2 linked regions of the Drosophila melanogaster genome follow. The protein of the gene in region 1 purifies or fractionates together with the protein of each later gene. This does not show direct contact. Each region holds a gene or a part of one and is shown on either strand. Other genes may lie near its edges.

What was found.
Region 2: the proteins of Rab1 (region 1) and vib purify together in Drosophila melanogaster (affinity purification with western blotting, with the first as the bait; one study listed by BioGRID). This does not show direct contact.

Annotation. Positions count from the first base shown.
Region 1 is NT_033777.3:21,264,766-21,272,551, forward strand, and holds Rab1 (Rab1), read right to left. Parts: upstream 4,296-7,786; 5' UTR 4,029-4,295; coding exon 4,006-4,028; intron 3,030-4,005; exon of another isoform or gene 2,976-3,029; coding exon 2,855-2,975; exon of another isoform or gene 2,793-2,854; coding exon 2,745-2,792; exon of another isoform or gene 2,689-2,744; coding exon 2,461-2,688; exon of another isoform or gene 2,381-2,460; coding exon 2,183-2,380; 3' UTR 1,264-2,182; downstream 1-1,263. Other genes in the region: AP-2sigma (adaptor protein complex 2, sigma subunit), read right to left, coding at 4,644-4,919, 4,980-5,129, 5,186-5,188; Idi (Isopentenyl-diphosphate delta isomerase), read left to right, coding at 5,451-5,765, 5,822-6,277; CG3308 (uncharacterized protein), read right to left, coding at 7,190-7,328, 7,390-7,671, 7,722-7,786.
Region 2 is NT_033777.3:19,222,171-19,229,391, forward strand, and holds the start of vib (vibrator), read right to left. Parts: upstream 4,482-7,221; 5' UTR 4,311-4,481; intron 3,901-4,310; 5' UTR 3,862-3,900; coding exon 3,845-3,861; intron 1-3,844. Other genes in the region: CG11703 (uncharacterized protein), read right to left, coding at 4,876-5,937; CG5250 (uncharacterized protein), read right to left, coding at 6,122-7,057.

The DNA of each region.
Region 1 (7,786 bases):
GCGAGGCCACCTTCTTGATCAACTCCATATCCACCTCCTCGGGTACGGATCGCACCACATCATCATCGGCGTGGCGCAGCAACAGTCTGTCCATTTCCGGTCTGAGCGAACGGGAGCGCGGCATACTGGGAGCCGCTATCATCGGCACAACGGCTGCCACCGTTACAACCGCCTGTCTGCAGGAGCGACGCGCCAGCAAGATCTGAATCCCATCCTAAATATGCATCCTTCGAGTCCCTGTCCACTGCCAGCAACCGTTAAAGTATTTAGTTGAATTCCAACAGCAAATAGTCATAGTTTTAGAAAAATTTTGTTGTAAAGACTGAAGTACCTCAGAAGAAGTCAATAAACGCAAGAGAAGATGTTTTTGAAAATCGAAACTAATTTTCTTCGGGCTTCGAAAAATTGAAGTTTGCAAGATTCGAAATAGCTTTAACTTGATTTTTAGAACAGAAACGAGTATGAACTTTTCATACGATCATTTTTATCGCACCTATTGTGATTTAATGGGAGATAGGAGGAGACCAATTGGGATATGCAAAAATAACGCAACTATTATTATCTTTGTATGTACGATTAATTTTAATCTCTAAAGAGTCAAAGTACTTCAATAATTTTACAAATCTGTCGGAGGGAATGTAAGCTTGCCCAAATCAAATGGAAGCTACAATCGTTGTCAGATGGAGATATTTTATGTTAGAAGGAATATCTCGGATACGAAATATTTAATTTAAAATTCCTTTTCATATTATTCTTTTTAAAAAATAATAAGTCCTGTATGTATACAATGCAATACATAAAGGTAGAGTATGTCCTAAAAAGAAAAATATCTTTCCGAATATATGTATATAATTTATAAAATAAGTGGATACATACATTTTTCGTAAGTATCCTAGAAGATTTGCCAACGTATCAGGTTTACAAAAATTGATTACCTATGTGCAGTTAACTTAACGGCAGTGCACTAACTAATCTGATTTGTGAAATAATGCAGATATAAAACATTTTTAAATAGAAATATATTTATACATCTGATTCTTCAACATCTAAGCACTCGTATAGAGTGCTTTGAATATATTCTAAATACATTGGCATGATCCAAGTTTTAAATCAGCCAAAAACTTGCTCCAAAAACAGGAAGATTCTACACAAATCGCCTCGCCCTTAAAGTTTCTGCCAAGTATTTGGGTGCGTGCGGATCAGTTCCGGCCTTCACTTAAGTTTTGCAATCTTTCCAAAGTCAAGAAATAAAACAAGTCGTTTGTAGGCATCGGTACAGATCGATTTTATTAGACTCAGGTCAAATTAAGATTCAAATTCGGGCGACAGTAAAAACCGAAACTAAAGTGTGTCCTTGATCCCAAACCTTGCAATTTAAATACGCACACGCAATAATTTTTATTAAACTTCATCGCTATGTCGTCATTATTACACTAATTATGTGCCTAAACAAATCCCTTGTGTCACACGATAATTCAAACACACAATCGCTCGACGTTAAATCTAAAAATGTTCGTTCGGTTTTGGGTTCGATTTACATAAAATTTCAAGTGACGATCACGTTCGCTAGAGATAATATGTTTAGAAAATTGTATTTGTAATTTAAACACATACATATGTATACATAGTGGTAAGTAGTAGCTGACACAGGACAAGTACAATTGCTCCTGCCGTCGCCTGCGCTCAATTAATGTGTAGTTAATAGTACATATTAGTTTCGGTATGGTTTCGCGCTGCTGTGATAGGTAACTTCTTATTGTAGGTTAAAGTAATATTAGGTTAATTGCTACACCGAATTTGCTTGCTTTGCACTACTTATGAACAGAACTGCGGAAATCAGAGTGACGGTTAGTATTAGGATCGATGTCCTTGTTGCTCGAGTTTAGTTGGGGATGTCTGAAGTCTGGATCGGGATCTGGATCTGGAGCTGGTTGGCTACGTACCTAATACATATTTGCTTAAATTGTTTATCGAATTGGATCACGGTTAGGATCATACAAACGCACTACTCGTCATTCCTCACCATTATTGTTATTACAGAATTAGTTATTATAATTACGATTTCGTGGATCCGCCATCGGTTTCGCTTGTTTTATTATTATTGTGTGGTTTCCGTTTTAATTTATTATATTTAAATTTTGTTTAATTGTATAATAAAATAATGATTCACAATCAGAGTTATTCAGCAGCAACCGGATTTGGTGTTTTCCACTGGACGTCCTTGATCGATTTTCACTTTGCTAGCGTTGTCAGTGGCGCTGGACGGCGGCCCGACGCGATTCTTGATCTCCGCCGCCATCGTCATGAAGGCCTGCTCAACGTTGGTGGCGCTCTTGGCCGAAGTTTCAAGGAATGGAATGCCTAACTGGGCGGCGTACTCCTGGAATTTTGGAAACAAAGACCCAGATTAGTATATACGTGCATCTATGATTCCCAGGACTAAACCAGCAATATACGCACCGCAGCTGTGGTGTGGTCGACTACTTTCTTGGTGGTCAAGTCGCTCTTGTTGCCAACCAGCAACTTGTTGACATTCTCACAGGCATACCGCTCGATCTCCTCCAGCCACTGCTTCACATTGTTGAAAGACTCCTGGTCCGTGCAATCGTATACGACAATGATGCCATGGGCGCCCCTATAATATGAAGACGTGATGGTGCGGAAGCGCTCCTGGCCAGCAGTATCCCACTGTAAACAGACTAATTAGCTCTGGACTAGATTGCCTCTGGCGTTTTTATGCTTACGATTTGCAGTTTAATGGTCTTTCCGTCGAGTTCTATAGTCCTGATTTTCTGCAAGATAAAGGTTTATGAGTCAGACATAAAGAATTTTCACAAATTTCCGGTTGGCTTACGAAATCCACTCCGATTGTGCTGATATAACTTTCTGTATATGTGTCATCGGCAAATCGCAACAGAAGACAGGACTTTCCAACGCCCGAGTCTCCAATAAGCAGCAACTTAAAGAGATAATCGCTGTGGATTTGGAGATAGTTAATATAGTTAATGTTATAAAATAGTTATATAGTTAATAAATTATAGTTAATTTAATAGTTAATGATATAAATTTGTGCTGCGATGTGGGAATAGTTCAGACCCTATGCTGAAACATATAAAACTTCAGAGAAATCTAAATAAAACTGATGATGCATATTTGCGATAGTGATATTACAAGACGAAATGTTTAAAATCAGAGTGTAAAAGGTTTAGTATACATTTAAAGGGAAATAAGTTGGATGACAATCAGTTAGAAATCATTGATTCAAGCAAAACATTTAGAGAGGTGTTTTGCGGGCATAGTTTAGTCGGGCAGATACTAATATATACATAAAACCGGTTTGGTTTAGGCTTTATCTTATCATGCTATGTCCAACATCAACCCCCAATTGCTGAATGATATGCGATAGTGTTCCAATCCTCTGCACACATGTATGCTGGCTATTGAAGGAGGCTTTCTGGAGAGTGCGAACCAAGATCGGTTCAGATTTAATTGCCTTGAGTGAGAGCGGCAATTAAGTAGCACTGGAATGGCCTTTGATTACGTAGCACTGCGCTGGGGGTGGGAAAGGCTCTCCACGCAGGTGACTCATCCGCCCGACTAGCGATTTGGCCCGTCAACTGGGATCTCGCTGTATATATGTGTGGACTTTATACATATGCAGATTCCGATGAGAGTTTCGAACGCGCTTTTCATCGCCTCGCCCGTGGGCACTACATTGAAATCCAGCTGAAACACACAGTTTTGGTTATGGTTTCTCGATTGGGTCGGTTGTTAGGTCCGAGTGTGTATTTTGTTTTTAGCAAATGGTCTGTTTTTTTGGAGTTGCCAACGAGGGCAAAAGGGAGTGGAGTGGGGCTGCTCGATAATGAATGGGAATGAAACGTAGCAGAAATGACGTCGCAGAAAAAATAAAAGAAACTATTTTCGAAGGCCAGAAAAGGAAGTGGAAGCCCAGTCACTGTTTTAACTCCAGATAACTGCGCATAATTACGTGTGACGACTTACTATTCCGGATTCACAGATGACATTTTCTGGCTTTTTCACAAGATTATATATTTGCCACGAACAAATATTCGATTTCTGGCCCTGGACTGGCTGCTGTTCAGAGTGTTTTTATTTGATTTGCGCGTTCCGAAATACTGGAAATCGACACGCACTCGGCTTGTGTTGTGTTTTGCAGTTCGCTATTGTAATTATTGCAGCGAATTTAAATGGGAAATACGTTTATTTCCACAAATTCGACGGCCGAGAACGAGAACAATGGCGACTGAAAAAATGACGAAGTGGCATTAGCGGCAGTGTTGGAAAATGCGCGGGGCCCTCTTCCAACCAGGGCTACACATTATCTTGTCTACGGAGGTGAGTGGGCGGAACCAGAGAAGAAAATATATGGATTATCGCCAAATGACCCCTAACACACCCCATATAAAAACAAAAATACTTAACTTTTGCATACAATCTCTTATGGTACATCATTTGTTTCTAAACACGGCCTTTAACATTTGAGTGTTTGCATAGAGAACACATTAAAGATAATAATAATAATACGCGTAATAGTATATGAAAGAAGATTCGATAGGCGGGTGTAGCGCCTGGGGGAATGCATCTGGCAGATCCGATATACATATGTATGAATTGGGCCGCTACTCCAGCGAATTTAGCGTGAGCAGCTGCTTGAGCACCTTCGTCTGCGAGGTCTCCCGGATCTCGCCCGCCAGGAACATCTCGTCCACCACACTGTACACCTTGTAGAAGTTGAAGACCAGATCCAGCTCGCACACATTATGGAAGTATTCGTTGAGCACCTCCACGAAGTTGTGAATGGCCTCCAGATAGCACAGGTTGTTGTCGTTTACGTCCACGCAGATGCAGAAGTACAGACCCGCATAGCGTCGGTAGACGATCTTGAAGTTGCGGAACTACAAAGGCAAAAGTGTGATAAAAGGGTGATTCAAAAGAACATATGGACTCGATCCCACCTCCACAAAGTTGGTGTGCTTGGCATCGCGCACTGTGACCACGGCATGCACCTCCTCAATCAGTTTCTGCTTCTCGTCGTCATCGAAGTTCATATACCACTTGGCCAGGCGAGTTTTTCCAGCTCGGTTTTGTATAAGTATGAATCGTATCTGGGCGAATGGAAGGTCAAATAGGGGTCTAAGCTTATAGCTGGCTAGTTGCTTACCATTTTTCGGGAAATTGGTTAAACCGTTTCCTGCTTATTTACAACTTTTTTTGTTTCGAGAATGGGGGCGAAAAACTGATTATGAGCAAATTGTGTATCACTGGGACCAGGGCTACCACTACTGTTCCGGAACAGCTGTTACCTCGTCAGTGTTGCAAACAGTTCGCGCAGAAAGCAAACGAGTTGGCAGACCCGCGCGCTGTATTACGAAGTTTCACTTTCATATTTGTTTTGGCCACCACTCCAAACTAGTCATTTACCAAAAATGTTGGCCTCTCGCTTGAATCTCCTGTTGCCCCGCGTATCCTGGCTGCGCGGTTGCTCAACGACAGCGGTGGGCCAGAAACATCAGCGCCAGGTGCCCACGGAGTTCGCCGTACACGATCCTCTGCAGGCTCACGCTCTAAAGGAACAGTGCATCCTGGTTGACGCCAACGACCAAGCCATTGGGGCCGCCTCTAAGGCAGACTGCCACCGTGTGCATCCAGAGACGAATGATGTTAAGCTCCATCGCGCCTTCAGTGTTTTTCTCTTCAATTCTCAGGGAGAGATGCTAGTGCAGAAGCGATCGTCTCACAAGGTGAAATTAAAGGGTAATCCCCTTATTACAAGGTCCATAATCCTCTGTATCCTTAGATAACCTTCCCAAACACCTACACCAACGCGTGCTGCAGCCATCCGCTTTACGAAATCGAACAGGAACGTCAGGAGCGCAACGCACAGGGCATCCGTGTGGCCGCTCAACGACGTCTCAACTACGAACTGGGCATTCCCACAGAGGAACTGCAGCCACAGGACTTTCGCTACCTGACCCGCATCCACTACGCAGACACGGGCGACGGCGTGTGGGGCGAGCACGAGATAGACTACATCCTGTTCCTGCAAAAAGACGTGACGCTGCGTCCAAATAGCAACGAGGTCAGTGAGGTGCGCTACTTGCGCCGCGATAAGATCGACGAGGCGGTGGCGAAGTTTAGTGCCCCGCTGACACCCTGGTTCTCTCTGATTCTGCAGCATCGATTGAAACTCTGGTGGGACAATTTGCACCAGCTGGAGCAATTTGAGGACTTGAGTAATATTCAGCGCTTTTAAGTGTGCTAACCAACCAAAAATACACGTAATGACGTCTAAAAGGGGCTTTTGTTCGTTTGGGTTTCAAATTCGCTTTATTCAAATGGAAAATAGTGTGTGTCTGTGTGCGGACAATGGGCACAAAGCGGATTTTATGCAACCTCCGCGGGTCGATCAGTTCAGTACAACGCTTTTGTATATGTAAATATAACAATACATATATAGTTTGTATAGGCGCACGATATTCAATATGTTTCATAGCCTAACTAATGTGTTTGTATGTTGAATATCAAATAACTAATTAGCTTTTAAAATGATCACATTACGTTTCCCATAATCATCATCATCATCGTCATCGTCGCAACAAGAATAAATATGTACAAAAGTACGACTACAGGCTAACAGAGACACAAACTAAAAGTATTGATTCTAGCCTAAATACAGAAGAAACAAACAAAAGACAAGCTGCAGCACTTAACATTAACATATATCGCTTCGGGAGCGAGTTCGAAGCGCGCGCTTCGAGGCGTGAAGTGCAGACCCCGGGCGAATCCGGAGTCGACGTTCACGAGGCACCACCTTGGCACCGTTTCTCTGGGTACTCGAGTAAATAAAGCAATTGCTCGGAAATTCCAACAACTTAAAGCTAGACCCTGCAAACTTCGATCGATGGTTTGCACCTTTACGGCAGGGGGTGAATATATAGTTATATACGTATACGTACTTTTCGCATGCAATGGGGGTCGTATTTGTGGATGTGTGTATGTGTGGGGATCAGGATAAGCGCTTCATCCTGAATTCGATTAGTGGTTAAGGCACATAGGTATGAGTCTATCGTGAATCTCAGGCTCGTTGAATCTATAGAGTTACGGGTTTAAAGCTGCTGGGTGGCACACTTTGTCGTTCAGTTCCATGTGGCTCCTTTACCATTTTCTAGGACAAGCCAAACAGTTTCAGGGCATTAAAGGCAGTGGCCAAAGCCACCTCGTCCGGGCTTTTCTTCATGAAGGCGGCTATCATCTCTACAATGGCGGGCAAACTGCACGGCTCGTTGCGTTGGAAGGTACAATATCTGGAAGGTATTTTGAACTAATAGAAGAGTGACCTATTTTGGTACTTTTTACTTCGCCCACCTGTGTAAGTACAACAATGAGCGTTCGGTGATACCAGTCTTCACGTGTTGCGGTAGCTTGGAAGCCCTTGTGTTTGGGTACATGAAAGGAGCATCCGTCTCCACCAGTAGTCTGTCTAGCGGCAATGTGCCGTCCTCCAGCAGGCGGCGAACGCCAGTATCCGATTTGTCCTTGCACAGGTAGCCCGTCAGGCTGATGTAGAACCTCCGGTCTAGGTACTTAAGCGCCTCCTCGGCGGTGCCCATAAAACCTCTGATGATCACAGGCGGAAGATTCTCGAATCTGCGCGGGGAACAATTTAAAGTTTTGTAAACCAAATCTACGGCTCTTACTTGTCTAGTATTTCGAGTAAATCGAGCTGAGCCGACCGCTCGTGGATCAGCAGAGGTTTATTTAG
Region 2 (7,221 bases), 2.0 Mb from region 1:
CGCAAAAAATTGCCCATAAAAATTGGTCTTCTGCACAAACTTTTCCTGTTCCGCAAAAAAAGAAAGCATTTCATTTCTTGAAAGGCAAAAAAACTTGCTAAAGCTTAAAACCCAGAAGAGGGAAAACCATTAGAGGACAAACCAGAACGTGTTTTTGTGACAAAATCGCTGTTCCAATAAGTTTAGTGGTAAATAAATTTCCCTGAAATTGTCGAAACAACATTCAACTGGGTTGAACAACATCAGCAAATGCGAGAGATCAAACGATATAGTCGCGTTTCTCCATGGGGTTTTTGGGTTTCCTATGAATCACAGCACAATCAGAGCATTGAAGAAATTATGCAAATCAAAAATAGAAACATACAACAAATCCCCACACATGAATGGTGGTAGAGGGGGGCCAAAAAGTACAAAAGTACAAAAGTAAAGCAAAAACAAGCGTCTGAGAATATTGAAGAACTCTTAATGAGACCAAAGTTGCCGAAAGAAACACTCGGGAGACCCCTTGGCACTCAACCCTCTTTTGTGGCCATGAACAAGGGAAATTGTTTGCTCTTGTTGGCATAATTGAAAATGGAAAGTGATTGTTTGGGGCTCTGTGGTCTTCGCATCCCAAAGAGGTGGTGTGTGTGTGTGTGTGTGGTGTGTGGTGTGTGAGTTGTGTGGGTGGGTCGAGGGGAAAGCTAGTGGCCAAGGCTCTTGTGGTGGCCATTATTGAGCGACGCCCACTGGCCATTGTCGCAATTGAAGGCCGAAGCCAAGTAATAATTGATTTACCCGCAATAAAGATGTCACACAGAGATTGCTCAGTCGATTGTTCAGTGAATAAGGCAGCAACGAGTCATTCGAGCTTGAAATTAAAGCATTTGTGCTAAACCTTCGTCTAACTAACAATACATATAACAAAACGATATTATCCCTGTTAAGCAGTAGGTGTTTGCATTAACATAAGTAGATATTCTGATGTGTTTATAATTTAAGCCATTTACAAGCCATAAGTAATTAGCTATCTAAATAGCCAAACCATTTATATACTATTCTTAAGCGTAACTGATAACTGACAAAGCTCATATGGAAATCAAGTGAAATTATAATATGGCCATGCACCATTGAAGAGAAGTTGTTTTTTAAATCAAGGCCGCATTTCGCGGTTTGCCCCCATTCGGATAATAGCATACTATGTATCTCCATATTTGGAGCCCAATTATGCTGGCGCTTAGTAGCCGGCACGCTCAATTGCCAAACATTTTCGAAACAACCGAAGCCCGAAACACTCGAAACGTGTAATGAGTACAGTGCCGATGTGAAGTAAAACGACGCATTGAAGTCGAAAGCCAAACACTGCGTGTTATCTTATCGCAGTACATAAAAAAGCGCACAAATGGCGGAACTAAATTGGAGCTCGTGCCATTTTCAAATTGATTGCTGGCTGGGCGAGCGGGGAGGGCGAAGGGAGAACTGTATCTGACGGATACATGTGTGGTGTACAAAGAGGCCAATCAGTTTGGGGCAGTAAAAGTCACGCTACAGCTGGTTTATGACGAGCACCATAAAGGACCGACATTGAAAACAACAAGCTTTTGCTTTCAGAGATCAAAGTTGAGACGGTTGAAAGTTGAAAAAAGAAACCTGCACTCACACCAACTTTATTGTCGCAAAAACGTGGCCTATGGACGAGGGTAAATGAATTTGCTTGATGGTTGGCCGTACAGCAATAAGATCGATTTCATTAAATTCTAAGAATATATAATCTATTTGAACCATTGTTTATTTATTTAAACTTTCCAGCCAATTGCTGATATAATCACGTAAATATAGTTAACATTATTGGCTTGATTCCACAATAAATTCTGTATTCTAAATTCACTAGCTATATTTACTATGTCAACAAATAAAGTGCAGCACTTTAAACATTTTGTGAACAATAAAACACAATTTCAGATAAATCATGCCAAGTGCAGACTATCACAATTCGTTGTTGTTACCTTTTCAGCTGCTTTTTATTCATTTGGCCACTTTGCCCGCCGGCCATTCAAAATTGTTTATCAGCCTGCAGCAACCTGTGATGCGGCACGCGTTGCCTTTATTTGCACCTTTGTTTTTCATTTAATGACGATGCTGAAATGTTCATTGCCAAATGGTTTACACGCCAACAGGCGGCAGACGAAAAAAAATGCGAAAATCTGGCAGGAAAAACATTTTGAAATGCAAATGCTACGGGCTTCGGATTCGTGTTGGGATTACGGCGTCGAGAACAATTAAACATTAATGCCTCTCGTGAAGACTGCCCGTCAACTTATGCGTATTTAAATAAATAAAATAAAAAAAATTTTATTGTGCAGTAAAATGCAGTTGCCTTAAATCTTCCATATTCTCTGTTAAAAATTTCGAGCAATACAAAACGTTCCCAGAAATGTATATTATTTAAAGACCGGCAGAAGTATATTTTCACCTATACTTCATGAGCTTTAGTTTACTTTTTGGTCGTTGCACACTTGAATACATATCGTACACCATATGATAAATATTAATGATATAAATACATTTTATGGGTAATCTAAATAGGAATTGTGTACATTTCTGTGAACGAACGCTGTAATGAACTACCAAATGCCACGGATTTTTCGCTAGCTTTTAAAAATTTTCCATTTTAAAATTTTTCCATATCATTTCTTCTTTATGATTAATGATATACCTATGTTTTTGTTGCAATAATATTCTTAAATGATATGTAATTAAAAATAAGCTATACAATACAAGCTTAGCAACACAAAAGTAGAAATCGATTTCTGTGTACTTTAAGCCAGAAACCGATCGTATGAGAATTAATAGCTTACAAAACCGATACACTTAACACCTATCAGTAAAAGGTGCTGTTTATATACAATTGAGTTTCCATTATAAGATTGATGCGAATGATTGCGCATACGAAAAATGATAAGACCGAGATTGTGTGTTTGAGCTTTCAGTTTCAATCTCCTGTATGCAAGCCGCTCGGATTTTCCTTGATTTTCCGACAGCTGTCAAAGTCAAAGCAATTATAAGCCGAGCCATTTGATGTCAGACTTTTGACAATTTCCGTTAATAAATTAAAAGTATCATTGCCAAAATGGGAATGTGAGGGTGGCAAACGTGAGCCATTTGCAAATGAGAAGAATGTATGAGAAGAATGTCACCTGGTGCTTTGCGACCGAAAAGGATTAAAGATGCACGATGAGTCAGTTTAGTGGGGTTAACGCAACGACCTTATCGCACTTAACAACTTGTTTGATTAAAATCGCAGGGCCCAAAGCCGAAAAGAGAGTAATGGGAAAAGAGAGGCGCAAAAGAGAGTGACTCACTGAAAAAGTCGACAACGTGGCGTCGCCGAGCGCCTAAAAAGCATTATCTTTACGTATATAGTATAGATTATCGATGATTCAAAGGAGTTTCCAAAACTAATTAGCAGTGGCATTGGTTATAAGAAGTAAGTTTTGGCTTACGTAGCTCCAAAATGTGACTTAAACTCATTACGTCATCGCCACAGCTGCAAAATACCTGAGATAGAGCGAGATGGAAAGAGAGGGGGTGTGCGGAAAAGGGGGCGTCAGGGGGCTGATAAGAAAACGGTTCTGTTGTTGTTGCGGAAAATGCCCGCAAACTTAAATACAACAAAAGCAACTACTGAGAGAACTGAGAGAGCAGCAACACACGCGACCAGAGAGAAATGGAGAGAGCGAATGTCACGAAGAGAGTGTAAAATCGATTTGTCACAAATAATTTGCGGCTTGCCCAGATTTTTTTTTGCGATTTAAACATCAAATAATCACAGGTAAATGGTAAAAACATACAGTTTTGTACTCACAATTCTTTGATCTGCATCTTTGCCAATTATTATCCGGTATTTTCCTGCTTGATTCGCTGCGAGAGAGTACAAAATACAGAATTAGATTTAATGCGAATTCGCTGGCGGATTTCAACTAAATTGTAGCATTTATTATTTCCAAATATAAATGCACTTGCACTCTACGCTTAACCTTCGCACGCACTTTCTATATTTAATTTACATATATATCTGCCAATAACACTTTGGTGTTTTTGTTTCGCTGCCAAATCGCTGCGCCCGCACTTTTTGTTTATGTTTGGCCAAGCCAACTTTAGTTTAGTTAGCCAATTGGGATTCTAATGCTTTTTCTCCAATTGTCGGCTAAACGCACGAGTCATATGCACACACACACTCTCTTGCAAATACACACGCACACACAGCGGGCGGAATATCAATAGCAATTTATGCGATTTGCCGCTGATTTATTACTTAAGTGATGACGTACAACTGGGGAGTGCGATTGGCCTGGTATCGGGATCGGTACGCGTTTGCAAATCGGCGGCAGTAATATACTAGTAATGAGTTTGTTATTTAGCTACTGCGTGTCCGGAGCGGAGCTAAAGTTCGATGTTCGTGCAAAACACTTCGATTCCGATAGGCGGATGCTATCGATTTCGGCGATGCCCCTTGGTCACACTTGGTGGTGGGCGCTGCCCGTCGCCGACTATCGATAGCACAAGCGGGTTATCTAGGTGTGCGCAGCTTGTTAGGGTGACTCATGCTGTTAAAATTATTATAAAAAGTTAATGAATATAATATAGTTATAATAAAATTATATATAAATCTATAAGATCAAAGATCATCAGTTATCATTTATCATTTGATTATATGAAAAACAAGAACAGAAACAAGATTTAATAGGTTTTTGAAATGTGAAAATGTGGGTTACCCCCAATTCTTATTCGAAATTAAATAACCTAAAGAACACCTACACAGATAGGTAATTTGCACATAAGCAAATTTTGTCTAGAATTCCAAATGGTAATAATAGTAGTAATAGATTCCAATTCTTATAAGCTTGGTGGCTCCGTCATTTCCTCCTTCTTGGCATCATTTCCCATTGCGTCTAGTGCGTCCTTCTCATCCTCTGGCGGTGGCGGCAATTCTAATCCTCCGAGCATACTTTCTGGTCGATTTGGAGATGGCGGTTCGGGAACGAGCTCTTCGGATTCGAGATCTATTTCGCGGGGTGCCTTACGAGTGGAGGGCCTTTCGAAATCCGGATTGCCGTCATCATCGGTGCGCATGCTCAGCGCGAACTTGATAATTCCCATGCCCTGGTAGTCATCGTCGATGGGTATGTTTCGGGCCCACACCTTGCAGCTGAAGAAGGTCTTCGCATTCTCGGGCATCTTGTTCATCTGGATGGCCACCACGCGCGTCACTCCTCTCATGTTCTCGGAGGCCTCGAAATATGGACCCGGATAGAAGACCATTTCGGGCTTGGGCCCATTGGTCACCTCGCAGGTGATCCAAATCTTGGGCGTGTTGCCCAGCTTGCCCACGGTGTCCTGAAGGCTCGCTGGCGCCTCCTTGGGCAAGTCATCTGGCGTGTCGTAGGTCTCCGGCACATAGCCAATAACCTTGTTCAGCTTGATGAAGACGGTCGGCTTTTCGGTGGCGTAGCCCCACGTAGTGTCCTGGTTGAAATCGGCGAAGAAGTCAATGGCATTGTCGTTCAATTTGTTCAGGAAATCGTCGATGCGGTCCGCAATCGGATTGACCTCACTCATGATGTGCGTAAAGTAGGCCAGCACGGATCGATTCTGGTTGGGCACCATCGACAGACCCGGCGGACCCTTGAGCCAGCGCGGCTTATTCGGATCAATGATGGCCAGCATAAAGATGCCCAACCAAAAGGCCACAATGCACACGATTAGGGCGTATAGTACCAGGTAGAAGCCAGTGATACGCATCCAACCCAGAGCTGTGCGTCCGAACAATTTGTGCTCGTCTATGTCGAATATCCTCTTCGACCACGGCAGGTCCTTCTTGCGACGTGTCTCCTGGTTCCGGCGTATCTGCTTGACCAGCTTGTAGTCCCCAGCGGGCACCATTACGTCCTCCGGCATCGTGGCGATCGTTCCGGTTCTGATTTGGCTACTGGTTACGTGGGCGTAAGTGGGAAATATTCGAAGCTTGTAGCTTCGGTTCACTATGAAATCTAAAGCGGAGTAAACTATAATTCTCAAATAGTTTTATTATTTTGTTAAGTATTTATTAATACATTAATAAATCCAGCTGAGTTAGCTGATCTCACTCGTACCACTCGTCCAGCACCAATGGAGTGGTTGGATGAACTGGTGCCGTCAGACGCACCAGCATCTTGACCGTTACCATATGGAGCGGTATGTTCTTAGCCCACGCCTTGCAGTGGATTTGGATGTCCTCGTTGATCGGAATGTTGCTCAACCGAACACTGATGATGCGCCTGAGGCGGGGATCCTCCTTGTAAGTAGGTCCGTCGTCGTCCGAAGACTCGTTGAGAAAGACATTGCCGGAGGTGAAGAGCTCTTCGGCATCGAAGAAGCGAACCGGATGGTAGTCGAACTGAATGTCCACTCTTGGCTCAATAACCTGGCAGGACACCCAGATGCGGTTGAAGCGCTCCTCCGAGCCCAGGCCCACCACATAGTCGAATAGCTCATCCGGAGCGTACTCGGGCAGCGTTAGGGCGTCATCGTAGGTTACCGCCTGGAAGCCCAATGCCTGGGTGATCTTTATTAGAATGCACGGCGTGCCGGACATATAGCCCCAACTGTCGTCTATGTTACAGCCCATCAGGCGCTTCGGGCCTTCGAGACCGTATCGTTTCACCGTTCGCATTATCGCGCGTTGTATGTTAGCCACATCCTTAATGTTATTAGGGCTCCACATAATTTGCTTCTGATCACCGACATGGTGTCCGGGTGCGGTTGCTAGTCCGGGGAACTTTTTGCATCCCGGCCTATCCGGATATATATGATTCGCAATCATCACGAGGGCCAATCCGGTTGTGAATACGCCCAAAACGAAAAAGAATCCGATGAAGTAGAGCAGCAGTTTGATAAAACGGCACACGGTCATCTCGGGATCCGCATTGCGTGTGCGAATGGAACGCCTGTAGAGGTACTCCGCCACACGCATATCACGACGCCGGCGAAGGCGTCCCAATTCGTAGGGACCAGAATAGATTATCGCGTCGTTAGGCATGGAATAATAATATATGGGTACTTAATTATATCTTATGGAAATATATGAGGGATTTCAGAAAGCTAGCTTGGGGTGGATTAGAAATATAGGAATGTATTCCGCACAGAAATCAGAAGCACTAATGTATATTTTTGAATAACGCGCCTTTTTGTCGATAACGATAG